Linked DNA regions of Rattus norvegicus. The main gene of each other region encodes a partner of the protein of the gene in region 3 in a complex. Links are inferred from orthologs where the notes say so. Each region holds a gene or a part of one and is shown on either strand. Other genes may lie near its edges. The genes, in order: Chrac1, Pole4 and Pole3.

The links.
Region 1: Pole3 (region 3) and Chrac1 share a complex: the UniProt entries of both Homo sapiens proteins name them as parts of the CHRAC ISWI chromatin remodeling complex. The link is inferred for Rattus norvegicus from reciprocal best matches to the Homo sapiens genes POLE3 and CHRAC1.
Region 2: Pole3 (region 3) and Pole4 share a complex: the UniProt entries of both Homo sapiens proteins name them as parts of the DNA polymerase epsilon complex. The link is inferred for Rattus norvegicus from reciprocal best matches to the Homo sapiens genes POLE3 and POLE4.

Annotation. Positions count from the first base shown.
Region 1 is NC_086025.1:106,899,916-106,906,215, reverse strand, and holds Chrac1 (chromatin accessibility complex protein 1), read right to left. Parts: upstream 4,164-6,300; 5' UTR 4,152-4,163; coding exon 4,005-4,151; exon of another isoform or gene 3,574-4,004; intron 1,995-3,573; coding exon 1,868-1,994; intron 1,324-1,867; coding exon 1,211-1,323; 3' UTR 775-1,210; downstream 1-774. UniProt on the Homo sapiens protein: Forms a complex with DNA polymerase epsilon subunit POLE3 and binds naked DNA, which is then incorporated into chromatin, aided by the nucleosome remodeling activity of ISWI/SNF2H and ACF1.
Region 2 is NC_086022.1:116,724,579-116,731,001, forward strand, and holds the start of Pole4 (DNA polymerase epsilon subunit 4), read right to left. Parts: upstream 4,274-6,423; 5' UTR 4,213-4,273; coding exon 3,997-4,212; intron 3,577-3,996; coding exon 3,492-3,576; intron 3,050-3,491; coding exon 3,008-3,049; coding exon of another isoform or gene 2,967-3,007; exon of another isoform or gene 2,933-2,966; intron 1-2,932. UniProt on the Homo sapiens protein: Accessory component of the DNA polymerase epsilon complex. Participates in DNA repair and in chromosomal DNA replication.
Region 3 is NC_086023.1:80,989,187-80,995,730, forward strand, and holds Pole3 (DNA polymerase epsilon subunit 3), read right to left. Parts: upstream 3,557-6,544; 5' UTR 3,544-3,556; coding exon 3,478-3,543; intron 3,384-3,477; coding exon 3,298-3,383; intron 2,988-3,297; coding exon 2,869-2,987; intron 2,637-2,868; coding exon 2,470-2,636; 3' UTR 322-2,469; downstream 1-321. Other genes in the region: C5h9orf43 (uncharacterized protein C9orf43 homolog), read left to right, coding at 4,347-4,407. UniProt on the Homo sapiens protein: Accessory component of the DNA polymerase epsilon complex. Participates in DNA repair and in chromosomal DNA replication.

The DNA.
Region 1 (6,300 bases), on a different chromosome or scaffold from region 3:
GGGAAGCTGAGGCAGGATCACAAGTACCAGGCCAGCAAGGGTTCTATACAGCAAGACTAAAACACAAAAATAAAACTGTTTGTCTAGTTTTATAGGCCATAAGATGATTCTACTGGATATATATAAGACAAAAAATGAGAAATGTCCCCAATGCCCAGCTTGTCTAATACCCTTACACAGTGGACTGGCTGGTTGTGTCAGTTTGATTCAAGCAAGAGAAGGAGCCTCAGTTGATGAACTTCTTCTTCCATGAGATCCAGAGGTAAGCCATTTTCTCAATTAGTGATCAGTGGGGCAGGGCCAAGCCCAATGTGGTTTGTGGCTCTAGGTTCTCTTAGAAAACAGACTGAGCAAGCCAGTAAGAAGCATATACATAGATACACATGTGGCCTCTGCGTCAGCTCCTGCCTCCAGTTTACTGCCCTGTTTGAGTTCCTGTCCTGACTTGGTTTGGTGATGAACATTGATGTGGGAGTGCAAACTGAGTAAACCTCTTTCTCCCCAACTTGCTTTTTGGTCATGGTGTCTCATCACAGCTATAGGAACTCTTAAGACACACTGAGGACGGCTGCTTCAACTGCATGTGATTGATGGATGAGCCGGGGCTCTTCTCAGGAGATGAGGCAGCTACTTATTGTTGCTGCTGTTTGCTGTGGTGCTGAGAGCAGTCCCAGGGTCATGTGCGTACTAAGCACATATTCTACCTGCATCGCATCCCAGCCAGATGCTCGCCGTGAAATGTCAAAGAACTGAAAACCACTTCAATAAAGCATGTTACTGTAAAATACATACAGACCTTTAATGGAAAAAGAAGAGCAAATCTCCATACAATAAAACTGCATAGTCCATTTTTAAAAAGAAAATCAAAGGCAGCACAGTATGCATGCAGCTGTTTGTGAGAACAGAGTGTCTGTCCACAAGACTATGCAGCTGACATGGAGCTTCCTGGGTCTTCCTGCAAGTTCAGTGTGATCAGTGGTATGTGCTGCTGTACCCAAAGCCAGAGCAGTGCCATCTGCCCAGGACTCTCCTAGTGGGAGACGAGGTGACTGAAGGGCCTGTGGAGGAGGCTGCTGTCTAGTCCTTCCCACTGAAAGAGCGAATGCAACAAGTTGCAAGTCTGAGACAACGCTGCAGTCCCTCCACTTCGCAGCTGCTAGTGTGTCCTTGTGTGTGCTCACGGGACTCGCTGAGAGCTCTTCTTGCTGGCCTAAGCCGGCACTTCACCAAGGTCGCTACCATCGTCATCATCGTCCTCTTCCTCCCTCTTCTCTTTGAGCATTTTCAGGTACTTACTAGCTAAAATCTTCTTTGGTAATATATCTTAAAAGTGGAAAAACGGTGTCAATAATTGGTTATGGTAAACTATGACTACAATGATTCAAGTTTTACAATGTATTATTTCCACCTTTAACCCTAGACAACCTTCTAAACAAGATGAAATCCAGGTGTGCTTCTAGGTGAAGAATAACAGAAATGGGCATTGTTTCCTGGGCATTCCACACTGGTAAACATGTTTCTATGGCCTGATTTTGTGAACACTGTTCAAGCTAGCTGAGAGGCTAAACTGGCCCCTGGGCTAGACTGAAGCTCTTTCTAGTCAGAGTCTGACCCATGGCTGCATGCACCCGCTGCTTTGTTTGGCGTGCAGGGGAACAGGACAAGCAGCCAGCTCTCAGTGAGTCTGCTTGGCCATGGATGCACCTTCTGTGTACTGTTGGCTTCTTGGTGGGCTCAAATGGAGGCTGGTAACAACTCCCTGTGCCAGATCAGATAAACCGAGGCACCGAGCAGAACAATAGAGGGGAGAATAGCCCACTACAAGGGTTCTTTGTTTTTTAACCAGAATGTCCCAAAGATTAAGTACCTGCGAGAAACTGAAGTGTCTCTGAATCCTCGGCAGCGCTGGCTAAGTCACTGTATGTCAGCGCTTTCTTGGCTTTGCCACTGCCGTGTCTGTAGGAACAGGTGGCTAGATACTGAACAAAGAGCTCCTAAACCAACAAGAAATCACACAGTTTACAACCTTAAAATTCCATTAATACTTCACATTATCTTGGTTCCTCAATTAAATGACAGGGAATTAATTTACAGGAGACAGAAACATGAAATCAGAAAGGAAGCAAGAGTGTCAGTCAGGAAGCAGCAGGCATTTCCCAGCTGAGCTGAAGTGTATAATATAAATATTTACAAATGACTGTAAAAATATGAAAAATATTTTACAAGTGGTTTTGGGGGGTGCTGTGGTATATACTTATCAGCATTTAGGCAGAGGTAGGAGGCACAGGAAATCAAAGGCAGCTCTGGCTATATATCAAGTTCAAGGCCAGCCTGGGCTACACGAGCTGTTGTCTGAAAAGGATGGGGGAGGGGTTATAAGGAGGTGTTACCAGCCTACACAAAACGGAGTAAAAGACCATTCAAAAACGTTATCTGAGCATGGTGGCACATACCTTTAATCCCAGCACTTGAGGGGCAGTGGCAGACCTATCTCTGTGTTCAAGGCTAACCTAGTCTACAGAGTGCCAGGACACTCAGAGCTACACAGAGAAACCATGTCTCCATAAAAGGAAAACCAACCAACCAAATTATATCTGGCTTGCAAAGGATTTTATTACAGATGTGAGCTGCCACCTATCTGTCTTAGGAACACATTTTCAGCCTACTTGAATCCCTTGTCAGTTGTTCACTCACAACTATAATAAAAACCAACAACCTCAGGCTGAAAGGTGACATCTCATTTTGCCCAAGTACCTTCTAGGTGTGGAACTAACGAGATCCCAATGCTCAGAAAGTAAAACTGAGCCTTCCCCAAGGTTTAGTATTATTTCAGCTAATAAGTGATCAGAGAACTGTCTGCATAGTGCTTAGGTCCTAACACTAGAATCCTACAAAAGAATGTGAATCCCAGCACCACACAAATAATCCTGATCCCATGATCCTGAGATGACTTAGAAATGAGACATGTACAGTTTACGTGTAAATATGCACCACTGTCTAAAAGGGGCTGTTATCCTAACATTGTATTTGGCTTTGGAGGACCAATGCAAGGAAACTGGGGAACTGTATTTTGTCAGGCTCTAACTTAAGGTTGACAGTTGTAGTCACAAGATTTGTATTTCTTTTGTAGTATTTTACAATATTACAATTTTACAATATTATAAAATATTGTAAAAGATACTACGCACTGATGTTCTAGAAGCAGAGACTGGAAAAGAATGTAGAGACAGTAATCATGTCGGGTCTCAGAACAGTAAGGTTCTCGGTCTACCACAAACAAGACCAAACTTTAAACCAGGAGTGGTGTCAGGAAATTCTCATCCCAGTACTCAGAAGGGCCAAGACCAGGGTAGCAGAGTATGGTTCCAGCAGCACTTGGTAGGCTGAGGCAAGCAGATTGAGTTTGAGGTAATCCTGGCCTACAGGGTTCCAAGGTAAGGAGAAATACTGAGAGCTGACTTGAAATATAAAAATAAGGAAACAAAGTGATGTGTTTGGAGGGGGGTGTGCAGTTATAATTTGTCTCTAGAGTCTAACTTGTGACCAGCGGTTGTCTGCTTAAAACCTGACTACCTCCAGAGTCCTGAGGGCTGAAGAGCCCTAGACATCCTTGCAAGCTGTCCTGGATGCTTCGAGAACCCTCGCATCACTCTGCGGGAAGTCAGCGACAGAAAAGAAGTAGACAGTACGCCCTCCTCACTGGTCAACTCGCGCAGCCGCACTTAGCTCCTCACGCGTGCGAAGCAGGGCGGGAGTGACGCGGTAGGCGGAACGCAGAGAACGCTGGGAGCGAAGTGATGCAGAGCAAAAGCAGCGCAAAGGACAGCGGGAGCGGCGCAGTGGGCGGAGCTAAGACCACGGGAGAGTGGGTGTGTAATGCGCAGGCGCAGGGAGAGACCAAGACTCCCGGCTCCCGCAGGGCAACCAAAGGCTAGGAGTGTGCGGAGCCCAAGGGGCGGTTGGTGCCCGTGCCCGCCCCTCTCGTCGCCCCGCTGGCCGCTCACCGTGGCCTTGGCCGTGAGCACTAGTGCCTCCTGGTTGATGCTCGACACCTCAGGAGAGCTCTTCATGATGACTCGGATGCGGGACAGGGGCAGCGACACGAGCCGCTGTTCCCCGCACTTGTCCTTACCCACGACCGAGTCCGCCATCTTCCGCGTCCGGGCGGCCCGTGATGCCCCGCGCGGCCGCGCCTGCGCAGACTCCGTGTAGCGCGGTGGCCTGAAAGCCTGGGAGACAGCGCCCAGGAAAAACCCCTCGGAAACGCTGCGGCAATCTCCCGGAAGAAGCGCTTTCAAGCGTCTTAGTACTTCGGGAAGACCCGAGCTGCACAGACCTGCCCTTTCAAAAGCTGAAAAAAATAAAAGAAATGTCTTATGAGGTCATGTTCTGGAGGGAGCCAGCAAGCATGAGCCACACTCTTATTGTCAAACAGTTTGGCCAGGGGAATAGGGAGAAAAGGCAACCCTACCCATGTCTTGAAGCTTATGGGGATTAACCTCTTAAGCAGGCAGGTGAACTAAATGGTCCTTGAGTCTTCTGTAGTCCCACCACAAAACCAAAAGAATCACCAAGAGTTCTAGGCCAGTTTAGCCCCACAAGCTCTTGTTGAAGAAGATGGACCGTGTCTTAAGGAATAGAATGCAGAGACAAGGTAGAATGAAGACGATTAGAAACATCCTATCAAGTAGTGGTCCAGAGGGCAGTGTCGAAGAATATCAGAAAGTGGGACACCATGGCAGATGACACTACCAGACTGAAATTCTACCTACATGAAATTCGTGGAGTGAACTTGGGAAAATAAAGTTAATGCAGTCTGAAGAGGTCAAAAACTCGTAAATTGGCACTAAATATAGTTGGAGGCTGGCAGAATGTTAGAGGTTGGATCACATTTGGTTTCAGCTTTCTTTACCATAGTGTATCCTAGTCCAATAATAAAATACAACTGTCCCCCGGTATCTATGGGGGATTGGTTCTAAGATCCCCACACATACTGAAATTGTACATGCTTAAGTGTTTTAAATGCATAAGGTAGCTGCATAGAGCCTAGGCACATTCTCATATAAGGCCTACATCTGGGTACCCTTGATAAGTACTTTGTGAATGCCATCTGAATAGTTGCTGGACTGTTAGGGAACAGTGATAAGAGATTTCTACATGTCCAATCAGCAGGGACGATTTCTCTTCCTGGATACTTTGTATCTCAGGTTGGTTAAGACCATAGATGTAGAACGCATGCTCAGTGTTAGTGTCAGGCTTAAAGAGGCACAGTCAGTGAGCAAGGTAGCCATGCTGCCTGCCTTCAAGACTATGTTCACCCAGATGTACTGAGAAAGAATATCATTTCCAATGGGAAGTGTCATCCTGTGTGATAGGCTGGCCTCTGAAAAGTGGTATTTGTTCTCAGATCTGAAGCAAAGGAAAGCCACTAGAACAAGATGAGTTTTGTCTGTCTCTTACTTGCTACCTGTCACACAAGTGAGGCAGACAAGAAAAGGTCTGTTTTAGGAAGCTGGGGTGCCACTAACCCCACTCCCTCCCCAGCATGAGTGGGAGGGTTGGCACACAGACACACACCCATCTGAACACTGGAATGCTTCTCTTCCACTGATGGTATCAAACTTTGATTCCGTTTGGTTGTGTTCTAGTAATGTTAATGTTAATGTAAATTTAATGTTAATGTAAACGTTAATGTAAAGTTAAGCCTTGGTTCTTCCTCCTAGCCCCATGCTCCCAGAAATAACACTCAGACTCATAATATACCTTGACTCAGACAACAAATACCTTGACCATATAGCTAGGCTCTTCTCTAACTAGATATAACTTAAAACATCCCATTTATTCTGCCTGTGGCTGGCTACCTGTGCTCAGGTATCATTCATCTCATCATATCTTCCCCGCGAAATCTCCCACCTGGCTCTCTTCCAGAATCCTTTCTCTCTGTCAGATGTCCTACCTCTATTTCCCACCTAAACCATAGGCCATACATTTTTTTAATTGGCAGGTGATACATCCATACTATATGCAAGATATTCTCTCTGCAGACAAGTAACTAGGATACTAGGTTCTAGATTCTGTCAGGTTGACAATCTTAACCATCATAGGGGCTAACTTCCCTGCATTGTGAAGAGCCCAGAGAGAGTTCAGTCTTCTCACTCCCAAGAAGTGTTTGCCCATTAATTTCTGACCCTCCAAATGACTCACCTAAGCACTGGCTACACTTGGGAGCTTCTGACAGCCTAGTTATGTCACCAAGAGCAGCACATGTGACTGCAGTGAGAAAGGAGGAGGATACGTGGT
Region 2 (6,423 bases), on a different chromosome or scaffold from region 3:
GCTGAAAAAGAGCTAAAGAATTGCTACACTGCTCAATGAACATTCAAAAAGGGAAAGGCTCTCTAAGCAAAGCATTTATAACTTTAAACAAGTTTTTTTAATTACATGTATACTTTTGAGAGCGTGTGTATGCAATACCCATATAGACCAGAAAAGGGCATCAGATCCCCCTGAAGCTGGAGTTACAGGAGGCTGTGAGTGAACTGAACTTGGATCCTCTGCTATAGAATAGTCTTAATTACTATCTCTCCAGTCCCTCTAATCTTTTCTCAGAAAGTCCCAGCTGAGTTTGCGCACCTGAGCTCACAAGTCTTTATGCTCTCCAAGATTGTATTCAAAAGAGAAAAAGCTGTTTAAAAGGCATAATCTACAACACAGAACAAAGCTCCACTAGCAGCTGGCCAATTCCAACAACAACAAAGAAATAATCAACATCTCACTGAGTATGTTTATAAACAGAGCAAAGAATCCTTGAGCCTGATGCAGATCGGGGTGCAAGAGAAGAGAAGCTATCTCCCACCCCAGGAGAACCAGCAGAAAGCACAAGACTAGTGGTTCTCAACCTGTGGGTCATCACCCCTTTAGCAAACCTCATTTCTAAAAGTATTTACATTACAATTCATAACAGTAGCAAAGTTACAGTTATGAAGTAGCAATGAAATAATCTTATAATCTGGGTCACCACAGCATGAGGAGCTGTATTATTAAAGGGTCGCAGCATTCGGAAGGTTGAGAACCACTGTTCCAGTTAACTGCATTGACAGAAAAAGAAGTGAAAGGAAAGGAGCTAATGATCCACAGGACACAGGCTTCCCTCTCTCATGCCTCTTACAACCTTGCCTCCACGCAGCAGCCACAGATTTAAACATACATGAAGGAGAGGAAAAAAAAAATCGCAGGACTTTGCTCAAAGAACCAAGTGGCCTATCTTGGAAAACCAGAGCAGCCTCTGGCAGTCAGACTCCCAGGAAGCATCCTGCATTTTGGCCTGTGGGGCCTCAGCAGGGCATCTGCTCCTCTTTACCCAGAAGCTGCAAAGCAACAACCATCACTTTACAGACACTCAGCTTCCAAAGCAGCCTCATGTTATGTTCACACAGAAGGAAAAGCACTGTACTGAAGGAAACTTCGTAGTAAAAGGAGAGGCCAAAGTTATTTCTTAATTCGATTAATAAAGTTTACATCAGGGTGATAAACATTAGAAAAACCAAACCAATAGTACTTGTAACTAAAAAATAGTAACTTTCTTTGGGGTGTTCTGTTGTTGATTAAGGCAATATTGTCACTAGCCAAAGTGGGCTGGAGCCCCCTTTGTAGCACAGACTGGCCTTAAACTTAAAATCCTGCTGCCTCAGTCTCCCAAGGACTGGCATTCACAAGCATGAACTCGTGGAAACTTCCGCTTTTGACGATGGCTGGTCTGTGTTTAGAGCAACGAATAAAGCTAAACATATTTTAAAAATAAAATTTCTCAATAATTGAAAATCATATTAAGAGTTAAATCTACAACTTAGAGAGAGCAAAGTCACTAAGTAAGGTCAACCTCGAACGCTATTGTGGCCCTGAAGGCATGTGTCAATGTGAGAGAGCTGAGAAGGGCTGTGTGCCAGGCTGAGGGAGGGAAGAACCAAACCTCAGTCTGTCCAAATGGGAAGGTCTAATAACCTCCTTTTAAAATCACTAGAAATAACAATAATCAACCTATAAATTAAACACCATGGGCTGTCACAAACAACATAGTATTATTAAACTTTTACATACCTAACCATATGGTCTTACAAAATAAACAGAATCAATAATTTAAGTGAAAATAATCTGCAGCTGTGGTAGGAGAATTTAACAGGCAATTCTTACTCAGCAACTGGTAAAACAAGTAAGCAAAACAGAATAGAGTGCTTTCTCTTCCAGCATATACAGAGCCCCCCCCCCCCCCAAGAATGACCATATACTGGGCCATAAAGCAAGTTGGGCAACTAATTCAAGTTATTTTTAAGACAAATAGGTGGAAAAACAAAGATCTACAACTTAAAAGAATACTCAAGTCTAGACTTGAAGCAGACATTGGGGAGATATCTTAAAACGTGTTCGAAGAGAACATCTAAAGAGTGCCATTGGCATAGGCTGACACAGAGAAGCAGAATAAAGAGAGAAGAAAAGATCTCAGAGCCAGGCGAGAAAGTATATGCCTACTTATGTATTTATTTACTTATTATTATTGTTATTACTAGCATTTGGGGAGGTGAGGAAGACAGAAAAGGAATTCCAGGTCATTCTCAGTTATACAGTGAAATTTCAAGACCAGCCTGAGATACATGAGAACATGTCTTTAAAGTCAGGAACTGAGGGTGAAGAGATGACTCTGATTTAGTGCTTGCTGCTCTGAGGGCAGTTGTAGCATACGCCTTAAATCCCAGGACTTGGAAGGCAGAGGCAGGTGGATCTTGGATCTCTGGGAATTCAAGGCCAGCCTGGTCTACAGAGTGAATTCCAGGACAGCCAGGGCTACACAGAGAAACCCTTGTCTCAAACAAAGCAAAAGCAAAACAAAAAAGTGCTTGCTGTTCTTCCAGAAGACCTCTTCACGGCACCCAGGTTTAGCACCTCACACTGCTCTTCTGGCTCCTAAGGGAACCTTCATATATTTGGCATGTATAAGCACACATACACATAAGTAAAAATGAATGTTTAAAGAATTATGAATTGTGTCTTATTCTAAACAGTATAAGGGAGCAATATTGATATTTAGGGACAGAGATTTAAATAGGATTCAAAATCTAAATCCAACTCTATTGGTATTTTTTTTATACTCCCTCCTTCTTTTACGCTTGCAATTTCACTGTAGAATTTCTAATTCCCACAAATGGAAAATGTTCCTCTTTTCTATCAAAATGGGAAGAATCAATTCCATTGTGTACAAAGAACCACACATCTGTTTTTATAAGGTTTTATGAGATTCGAAGTTCACATCATCGACAGAGAAAGCAGTCTGTGCTGACAGTGAACTCACCTTCTAGAAAAGCGAATTCATCCACAGCTTCTATGGCATTATCTGAAATACAAGGTAAAGGGATATTTGATTAGCTCTAGTCATTTGGACATCAGACACAAAACAGTACAATCCACATAATAACAAACATGGAGTTTTATGCAAATGACATCATTTATAAACAATCTCCCTGATGTCCTAATTTTTACACTATAAATTCTTTCAACTGTCTCGGCACAAAAGCCCACGAAAATGCTGTTCGGTAAGGCCTCCTACAATCCTGTCTCGTTCCTAAATCCACTTTTCTCTCTAAAGATACTAGAAGAAGAGTTTGGCAGCATAAGAGGGAATGAGAGATACAGTCTTTAAAGTCTAACACACGTGCAAGGGTTACCAGCTAGACAAATAAATAAAAACCTTGCTTCAGTGATGCCTTGTGAACCAGCTCTAAGAAAGCCCAGCCCATAGCTCCCCTGTCCACCCTGAGGTACCACAGTGACTCTACCCAAATCTCTCCTCTGAAGAGTTTTCCTCTTTCCTTGTTGAGCACAGCAGTAGGCATCTTTTGCAATAGTCTCCACAAACAGCTCCTGCAAAACAAGCAGAGCAGATTAGTGGATTATAGCCCACTGAGTGAGCAAACCTGTGTATATGTGGGCAAGAAGGGTAAAAGGGGGCTCTACCACACAGGAAAGTTCTAGAAGTTAAGATTGTACTAAAATTCACAAAAACACTTCTGCTATCCCCTTCCCTATCTTCAGTCACCCTGCTCTAATATTTATAAATATTCACTAGGGCCCCCTTCAAATTCTGTGTGAGCCCCGGAGGGTGCAAACTAAAGTTGCCTGAGCCCCCTGAAGTGGAGTGATTAACAAACTCAAATGGGGCCTACAGAGGCCTTCCTAGGTCTCAGGCAGGTCAGCATACCAGGGCCTGCCACACCCCGAGCCACGCCCCCTAAAAACCACGCCCCCTTCCCCGACCCAGTCGCCCTTGCTTTCCCGCCGCACCGCGGCACGCGCCAGGATAAAGATGGCTTCCTGTCCCGCCAGCGTTACGTCAGGGTCTGCCTTCACCAAGGCCTTTACTCTCGCCAGAGGCAGCCTCGAAAGGCGAGCCCCACCGGGTGCATTCGTCGGGGCTTGGGCCTGCGAAGCTGCTGCCTCCCCTCCGGGAGCCTCCTCCTCTCTGGGCGTCCCGCTCCCAGCGGTCGCCGCTGCCGCCATCCCCTCCCTAAACGTGCTGCGCGCGATCGCTGTCTGAGCGCGCACACGAGATTCCGGCCCCTTTCCCGCGCCGGTTAGAGACCACGCCTCTCTGTGGGGGCGTGGCCCCTCCCTTACAAGGCGGGGCGCGCCAGAAACGCCCCCCTCCGGCTCCGGCTTCTGATGTTGCCTTCCGGGGGAGAGCCTGGAAGCGGCCGGGCGTGGCCTAGCTGAGCCGGAAGTCCGGATGCTTCGCCAGAGCCTGTGTAGGTTCTCAGGGTCTAACTTCAAGGTTCACTTAAGGGGGACCCATGGGTGTCCTCACAATGCGGTGCCGCGCAGCGCCAGGCCATCTCCGGGGATCACGTCTTAACTGGAATGGGACTTTTGACGGGCAGAATTGGAAGTGCAGTCCAAGAAAGGCGTGCGGACATAGAGAGCAAGTTGTGGTGTCTGGTCGTTCAAACGTAGGTTGCATCAGAACACTGATGGCCTTACTCAAAAAAACAATCAAAAAGTGTGTTTCTGTAGGAAATATCAACATTAATTGCACATTTTTACGTTTTAAAATTTTGGTATGTGGAGTTAGCAAAACATTGTCATGACAAGTAAGTTAAAAAAATTTGATAAGAAAAAATTGTCTCCCTTAGAAAAAGATTGGATCAGGGCTGGGGATTTAGCTCAGTGGTAGAGCGCTTACCTAGGAAGCGCAAGGCCCTGGGTTCTGTCCCCAGCTCCGAAAAAAAGAACCAAAAAAAAAAAAAAAGAAAGAAAAAGATTGGATCATCTAGCTGCTTCTGAACATTATTACTATCCGGTTTTGCTTAGTTATGGAAAATTCCACTACACCTTCTTGAGAGAATGAGAATGACTTCTGGGTATTAAGATAACTTTGACCGGGTGTGGTGGTGCACACCTTTAATATAAGCACTGGAGTAGCAGAAACCAGCCTAATCTACAGAGGGAGTTCCCAAGCCAGCTAGAACTACATAGTAAGACCCTATCTTTAAAATAGAAAATCGCTTTGATCTCACAGGCCTCTGGAAAGGTTCTCCAAGAAGCCTCTCTTCACCTCCTCCTTCCCTATGAGTTCTCATACCACACCGGAGATCTGGCATGGAGGAGTGGCAAATATTTGCAATAGGCAAAAGAGATGACTCAGTCAAGTGCTGCACATCAAGGACCTGAGTTCAAATCGCCAGAACACAGTAAAAGGCAAGTGCGACATAACTCCTGTAATCTCTGCAGTAAGAGTAGTAGGATGGCTGAAACTCCTTGGCCAGCTAAGCTAGCCTAACCAAATCAGCGAGATGGTGGACCCTGGGCCTTTATACTAACAAATGCACCCAACACACATCAAAGTTTTAATATAAGGCATAATAAAAACACTGTGTAGCTAGTTGATTGCTTTATATAAATATTAATGTTTAGTCATAATACCTGTACTATTGAGGCAGGTAAGTAATTTTATTTACAGCTATGACTGAGCCACAGACTGTTCAATAGTATACCTGTGGAATATGGGCTCATTGCATTGGATAATAACCTGAAATCATTCACTTTCAAATTTAAGCAATAAACTTTGACTGGATCTATACACAGAGGCCCCACTAAAACAAAATGAGTCTTCGCCAGAATTAAAAGCTTCAGGGGAAGAGAGATGAATTACATTGTACCAGAGTTTTCCTTAGGACCTTTGCCTTGAGTTCCTTCTACTTTGTATTTAATAAAAAGAGAAACAAAACATACCAAGAAACTTTATTCTCATTGGTTGATTGTTCATAGAAACTGACTACATGGATTTCCAGTCTTTTCACCCCAACTTTGAAATGCTACAAATCCAATGTAACAGACAAGGATCTCTGCAGCTGGTCTCTTTCCATCCTCTGCCATTTTGTAACATCTCCAGGTCCTCTCTATGTCTGGATCAGGTAAACTGTGTCTCTAGTTCTTTTGTTCTGCCCCAAAGCTTTTCTCCACTTCAGATCCCAGGTTCTCTGATAGTTCTACAGATGAAGTTAAATCAGTCATACCACTGCATACAGTCCTTCAGAGTGCTGGTCCCAGTAGCAGCACCAAGCCTCTCCCTGTGCCATTTTTCTTTCTTTTCCTCTTTTTTTTTTTTTTAAATCAGTATTTGACTCTTCTAGCCCCACCTTCCCCAGATTGAAAACTCCTGAAGGAAGGTGTTTCTGTCTGGTTTTGTTCATTGAGTCTTGAGACTATGATAAA
Region 3 (6,544 bases):
TACCAACCTCCTGCAGTGACAGGAGGGCAGAAAAGGGCATGTAGCTATAGAAGTTGTGAGCTGCCATGTGGGTGCTGGGAACCAAACCCTGGTCCCCTGGGAGAGCAGTCATTGCTTTTAACTGCTGAGCCATCTCTTCATAGCCTCCAAGTAGTTTCGAATGGATTAGAACAAGAGCTCTTCCATGGCCCAGATCCAGGTTAGTCTCTGTTCATTGTTTAAAGAGATGAGAAAGTCTGATGGAAAACCTTCAGAATCCAGATGCCATTATGAGATGATGTAGGTGTGATTGAGAAAAAACTGATGGATGACCTCAGAGTCTTTCCAGATGTTGAATTCTTTACTTTTAAATCCAAACCTCCATTCCCAGAAAAGGTTTCTCTTAGAATGTTATAGTTAAGCGATTGGGCAGGACAAACCCGAGACATGGAAGAGTTTGGTTTTTGTTTTGTTTGAACATGCTAGGCAAGTGCTCTGTGACTGAGCCCCTTCCAATTCTTGACAGCCTTAGAGTGGAGATTAGATGGTAGGGTAAGCCCTTCTTACACAAGCCTTGAATAACAGGTTTAACTATGGATTTGATCTCACTGAAAGCAAAGGTATATTCTAGGAAGATCTACTTGGCATATAGTTATACATTTGAAACTGAGTTCAAAGGAAATCACAGGATTATAAATGGGACTTGAGTAGGTCTAGCACTGTGCTTATGGGAATTAAACAATGTTTCTGCTGTGAAGGAAAAAGCCTATAAACCAAAGGACCACTGGGGTTCTTTGTGAATATGACTTGAGAACTGTGTGTACTGGAGATACAGAGCTGTGGTTGAGAGCTAATAGAGGCAACATCTATGGATAGGAATTGATACTTGAAAGCACTTAGAACAATGCTAGACACTGGAAGAGCTTAGGAAGTGGGAGCTAGTGAGATATACAAAGTAACCAGGAGAATCTCAGGAAGAGCAGTGCCCTTAAATTGTGATTACTTATTCACCTGCTGGTAACCCAAGAAGACACAGGACTCTGTATGTGTGCTGAGGTTAGGGGGTAAAAGAGGGGTGTCTTGGTGAGTCCTTTCCAAAAGTACATTGTGTGGGTCATCATTTAAACAAGAATTTATTTGTAGAAAGCATTAAAATCTTCTCAACAGTCTCCAGTCACTTTCAACAAACTCTTCCCTGTATTTCCCTGACTAGTTAACAGTGTTCAACTATATTACATTACCTGTCAGCCTCATGTGCACAACTAAGACAGAGAAAGTGCTTGGAGCACTAAATGGGGAAAAGAAAGGCCAACAGGCACGCTCAAAGCTGCAGCAGTGGTGCCACATTCCTGAGCACCGTTTCTCTCACCTTCAGGGTCAGAGGTGCTTCTCAAGTCTCTTTAAAAGACAGGAGATGAGGAAACAATCTGAGGACCTTGCACTTTATCAGAGTCCCTAGACTAGAAGATGAAATGAATAAGAGGAGGAGAAAGCAGGGCTGGGAAGCAGAGGCGGGAGAGATGGAGACAGAAAGGCTGTGCCTGGAGGAGATAAAGTCTCTGGAACTTGCTATGAGTTCAGGGGATAAAAAGCAGCAGCCATCATCTGAGAGGTGGACTAGAGAAGAGACAATCTGGGATTTTATACCTTCCAAGAGGTGGCACTAGGTTCTACAGTGGCAGGCACTGAGTTACCGCCAAGTTTAAGCCACCTGCTTTTAAGAATTGGCACCCTTGGGGTTGAGGATTTAGCTCAGTGGTTGAGCGCTTGCCTAGCAAGGCCCTGAGTTCAATCCTCATCTCTGGGGGGGTGGGGGTGGGGAGTTGGCACCCTTTTTTGACAGATTCTAACCAACACTCAGAATTTAAGAGTATATGTCTTAGGAGTGGAGCCACACCAGAGCACTGGGCATCTACAGTCACTACAGGACTACAAAGCTAAGTGTAGAAAGCCAGAAGCCAAGCAATGCTACCATCGAGTGAGGAGATTTCCTTATTCTCTCACAGCTTTTTAGTCATTTCCTAAAGAGCAACCATTCTGAGCATTAATATCTATTGTCAATTACTGTACAGTCAAACAGGGTGACCATGGTCCAAGCCCCATTTCCCCCTGACCGGTTAGCAACTCTGCAACTTGGAACGCAGCAAGAAACATGTTATTACTTTTTTGGAGGAGCAGGGAAATAGGATCAAAAACTAGCTAGCTATACACTTTAAGTAAACAAGCAATACCAAACTATGTAGTCATTCGGAATCCCTTACACTAATAAGGCATAACCTGCAGACTGATGAAGCAAAGCTGGTTTCTGTAACTCAGACGCTCTGAGTTTGGGAAGAGCTAGCTAGCTTTGATCTTTCTGGTCAGTTTTTATTTTGATCTCAGGCACCGTTGCGGAAGATGGCTCTGCCTTGCAGGGAGAGGCTTCACATAAACACATCTCAGTATCTGAGGGTCCCTTCCACCGTGTCAGAGTCTGCCCACTCTCTCCAGTCAGTTGTCTACCTCCTCCTCTTCGTTCTGTTCTTCCTCATCCAGTCTTTCTTCATCTTCATCCTCCTCCTCTCTGCTTTTGTCCTGCTCTTCGCAATCTTTTTTGTCTTTGTCCTTCTTCTTTTGCTCTGAGGCTTCCTTCTTGCCTTTCTGCTCCCGCCTGTATGCTGTAAGGAAGCAGGGGATTATTGTTTAATTAGACAAACCGAGTGAGGCACCAGAGGAATAAACAGGCCCATATCACATATTCGAAATGGTACCAACTCAACAGAGTGGAATCATGACCAGTCCTGGACCAGTGAATGGGACCTAATGGCAGTAGTATTGAAATCAGGTGATCAGGGAACAAAGGATGAACATCTTTCACGTGGTTTAAGAAGCAGAAGAGCACATGGATACCTTCTAGCGCTTCTTTCAATGGCGTTACGAACCGTTGGAACTCCATCTCTTCCATGGCTGACAGTACATCACTGGCATTGAGAGTCTTGCGCTTTCCTTTCATTGCAAAGTTATTGGCACTGGAAGAAAGAGCAAAGCCCTTCAGAAGCTTGTCAAAGTGGTGGGGACATGAGACAGCCAGAGATGGGGTGGGAAAAGCCACATTTATCTTAGATGAATGGGTTTTTGTATGGCACAGCTCAATTCATCCCTTCCCCGTACAAAGGGCTACGACAACCGTCTTGTTTAACCTGCCTCAGAATTTGTGAGGCTGCAGGAGAGCTGTGAGTCGCTCTCTAGTGAAGCAGGGAACTGGGGCCTGTGGGTTCCAGGACACGAACGCAGGGTTAGGATCCCGCTGCGCCTCCCTTCCGCCTCTGCTCGGCTTACCAGGATGTGGCATACAAAACGAAAACACTGGCCGCGCGGGAGATGGCGCTTCGGGCCTCCTTGGAGATGTTGACACCGTCCGGTAGCTGCAGGGAGAGTGGAGATGAACACACATGCGGATTCTGTTAACTTTCTGGCACACGTCCGCCCTCGACCCATTCTCCAGCCCGAGCAGCTCACCGCCTCCTTGATGATCCTGGTAATGACGGCGTTGGGCAGATTTAGGTCCTCAGGCCTCTCCGCCATTGCCTCCGCTTGGGCCCTACCCTCCTCCTCAGGTCTCCTCGCAGACAGTTCTGGTGTCTGGACTTCCCGCGTCGCTAAGATATGACCCTCGGAAGCTTCCGTCCTACCCTACGTTGCCAGTGTCCCACAGTGCTTTGCGCACCACAACTTCTCTGCTACATCAACCCCGCCACAAGTCTCCAGGGTAGCCCAGCTTTTCCATGTCGCAGTTGTTTCGGACCATTGAGGTTTCCATCCGCTTCCACCGCATCCTGGACGTTCCACTCCAGGCTTGTTTCTTACTACACATCGCTGGAGCTTTCGGACTAAACTAAGTTTGACTCTCTGAGGTTTCCGTCTATTCTCCCATCGTGCCGTGCGCCGCTGCTAGGCAACCGTGCGGCCTGGTGCTTAGTTTGGAAGGGGTAGGCGTAGACTGAGCCCGACAAGGCAGGACTGGGACCGACGAGTGGGCGGGGCCTCTAGAAGAAGTGGGCGGGGCCAAGACTTGGGAGTGCTTTCGCAATCTCAGTATTGTCCGCCCCCAGAGGCTCAGAACACAGCCCTTTGGAATCTGCTTTGATCCCGCGAAATCGCGGACTACGGACACTTGAGTGGCCCTCCCCATCCCTTTTTTTCCGGAACTCAGTGTAGCTTTTCATTCAATTCTACTACACCGAATTATGCATTAGAATTGTCCATCTTTAATTTCATTCCCTTCACAACTTTGTGATAATTGTATTAAGAATAACTTTTATCTAAAATTTCGTTTAAAAAAATGCTATTATTCGGACAGCAGTAACCTGGGCAATCTCAAAAGCTTGATGAGACTTCGCAGCTCAATTCGGACTGGTTCGGTAATGAAAGGGCGAAAAGCATTTGACTGTAAGAATAATGCATTGTATTCTCATTCAAAAACCCGTGTTAAAGTATTTTTTAATTCATTATGTGAGTCATCTTACATTTTTCTTATCAAAATCATCATCACTTGAGTTAACATTTACAATGTCGCTTTAAGTTGTATAATTTTCATATTAAGCACAGAAAAAAAAATACTCCTGAGAACTAATGCTTATTTCCTTCTTAATTTTTCTTTCTTTTTTTTTTTCTTGAAACATGTTCCAAGACTTTTTCCTATTTTTAATGGAGACGTTACAAAGAAACATTTTCCTATTTGGAGAAACAAAACAAAACGATCCAACAGTTTTAGGGTGATGATGCTAAGGGATTGTTCTGATGGAGAGAATTCTGCACTTAGAACAGGCCTGTCTTAAGGATGTCATAAGCCTTAGTTCCAGCCACCATTTAGCTAGAACTGGTGCTGTCAGGCATTTTGATCTAGGAGAAAAGCCAGAAATCTAACATTATAGGACCATTTCAGTTTTTAAGACATGGGCTAAAAGTGCCTGCCAAGATAAATTACTCCTAGGCCAGGTGCAGCCCAGGCCACTAGATCCCTATCTCTAATTTAAATTAGAAGCTGTTTAGAACCAAGTGTTTGTTTATTGCTATTCTCTATGTCCCAAACAGGTCCTCTCATATATTTGACAGTCAATAAGTATAAATAGAAGAAGAAAAGGACACTGTCCTTAAAAGTTAAAAAGGGGGGGTTGGGGATTTGGCTCAGAGGTAGAGCGCTTGCCTAGCAACCAAGGCCCTGGGTTCGGTCCCCAGCTCCGGAAAAAAAAAAAGTTAAAAAGGGGACAGGGTGAGATGGCTCAGTGAGCTGTGTAGTCTCTGGGTTCATTACAGGATGGCCTTCCTGTTAACCTCCTTGTGTGTACCATGGCACCCATGCCCACCAAATAAAGGGATAAAATATAATTATATATTAGGAGCAATAAGGTAGTCGTAGTGACTGCATAGCATCTTTAAAAGGGAGATTGATAATAGCTTAGTATAATTTCATTTACTTGTCTCTCTCTATGTATAGTGTGTGTACATAGATATGTGTGAGCATGAACATTCACATGGTGCTGATGTGGAGGTCAGAGGACAACTTTGGAAGTTGGTCTTTCTTTGCCTTCTACCTTAAAAGAGGATCTCTTTTTGGCTGTTTACAGAATCTTATTGCAGGCTAGCCCACAAGCTTCAGAGGATTCTCTGCTTTCTATTTTATAGTAGGAGCAATGAGATCACAGATGTCCGCTGTGCCTGGCTTTATGTGGGTTCTGGATATTTGAACTCAGGGCCTCATGCTTTGCCCTCCAAATGCTTTAGTTACTAAGGCATCTCCCTAGCCTGGTAATATTTACTGGGTACTTGTTACATGTCATATGTAGGGGTTGGTGATACGTCTACAGTTTTTTTCTTTTTTCTTTTTTTTTTTTTCTTTTTTTCGGAGCTGGGGACCGAACCCAGGGCCTTGTGCTTGCTAGGCAAGCGCTCTACCACTGAGCTAAATCCCCAACCCGCGTCTACAGTTTTTTAAATATATTTTTAAAGATTTATTTCATGTATGTGAGTACACTGTAGCTGTCTTCAGACACACCAGAAGAAAGCATTGGATCCCATTACAGATGGTTGTGAGCCACCATGTGGTTGCTGGTGACTGAACTCAGGACCTCTGGAAGAGCAGTCAGTGCTCTTAACCGCTGAGCCATCTCTCCAGCCTGCGTGTACAATTTTTACAAAATTAATCAAAACATTTTTGAGATCATAATATAATTACATCATTTCCCCTTCCTTTTCCTTCCTCCATACCCTTCTCATGTACCCCTCCCTTCTTTTTCAAATTCATTGCCTCTTTTCCTTTGTTGTTTCTCTCTCTCTCTCTCTCTCTCTCACACACACACACACACACACACACACACACACACACACACCGTTAAGTCAGAATAATGTTATTTGTATGTATGTCTTCAGGGCTGACCATTTGGTATTGGATGATCAGTTTGTATGACCCTTCTCCCTGGGCAAACTTTCTTCAGATCCCGGCATTCCTCAATCTCCTGTGGTTCTTTATCTAGGGTTGGCCTCCTCCGCTTTCCTTCCCTGTGAGCATGTCTGATGGTGCTGTCCT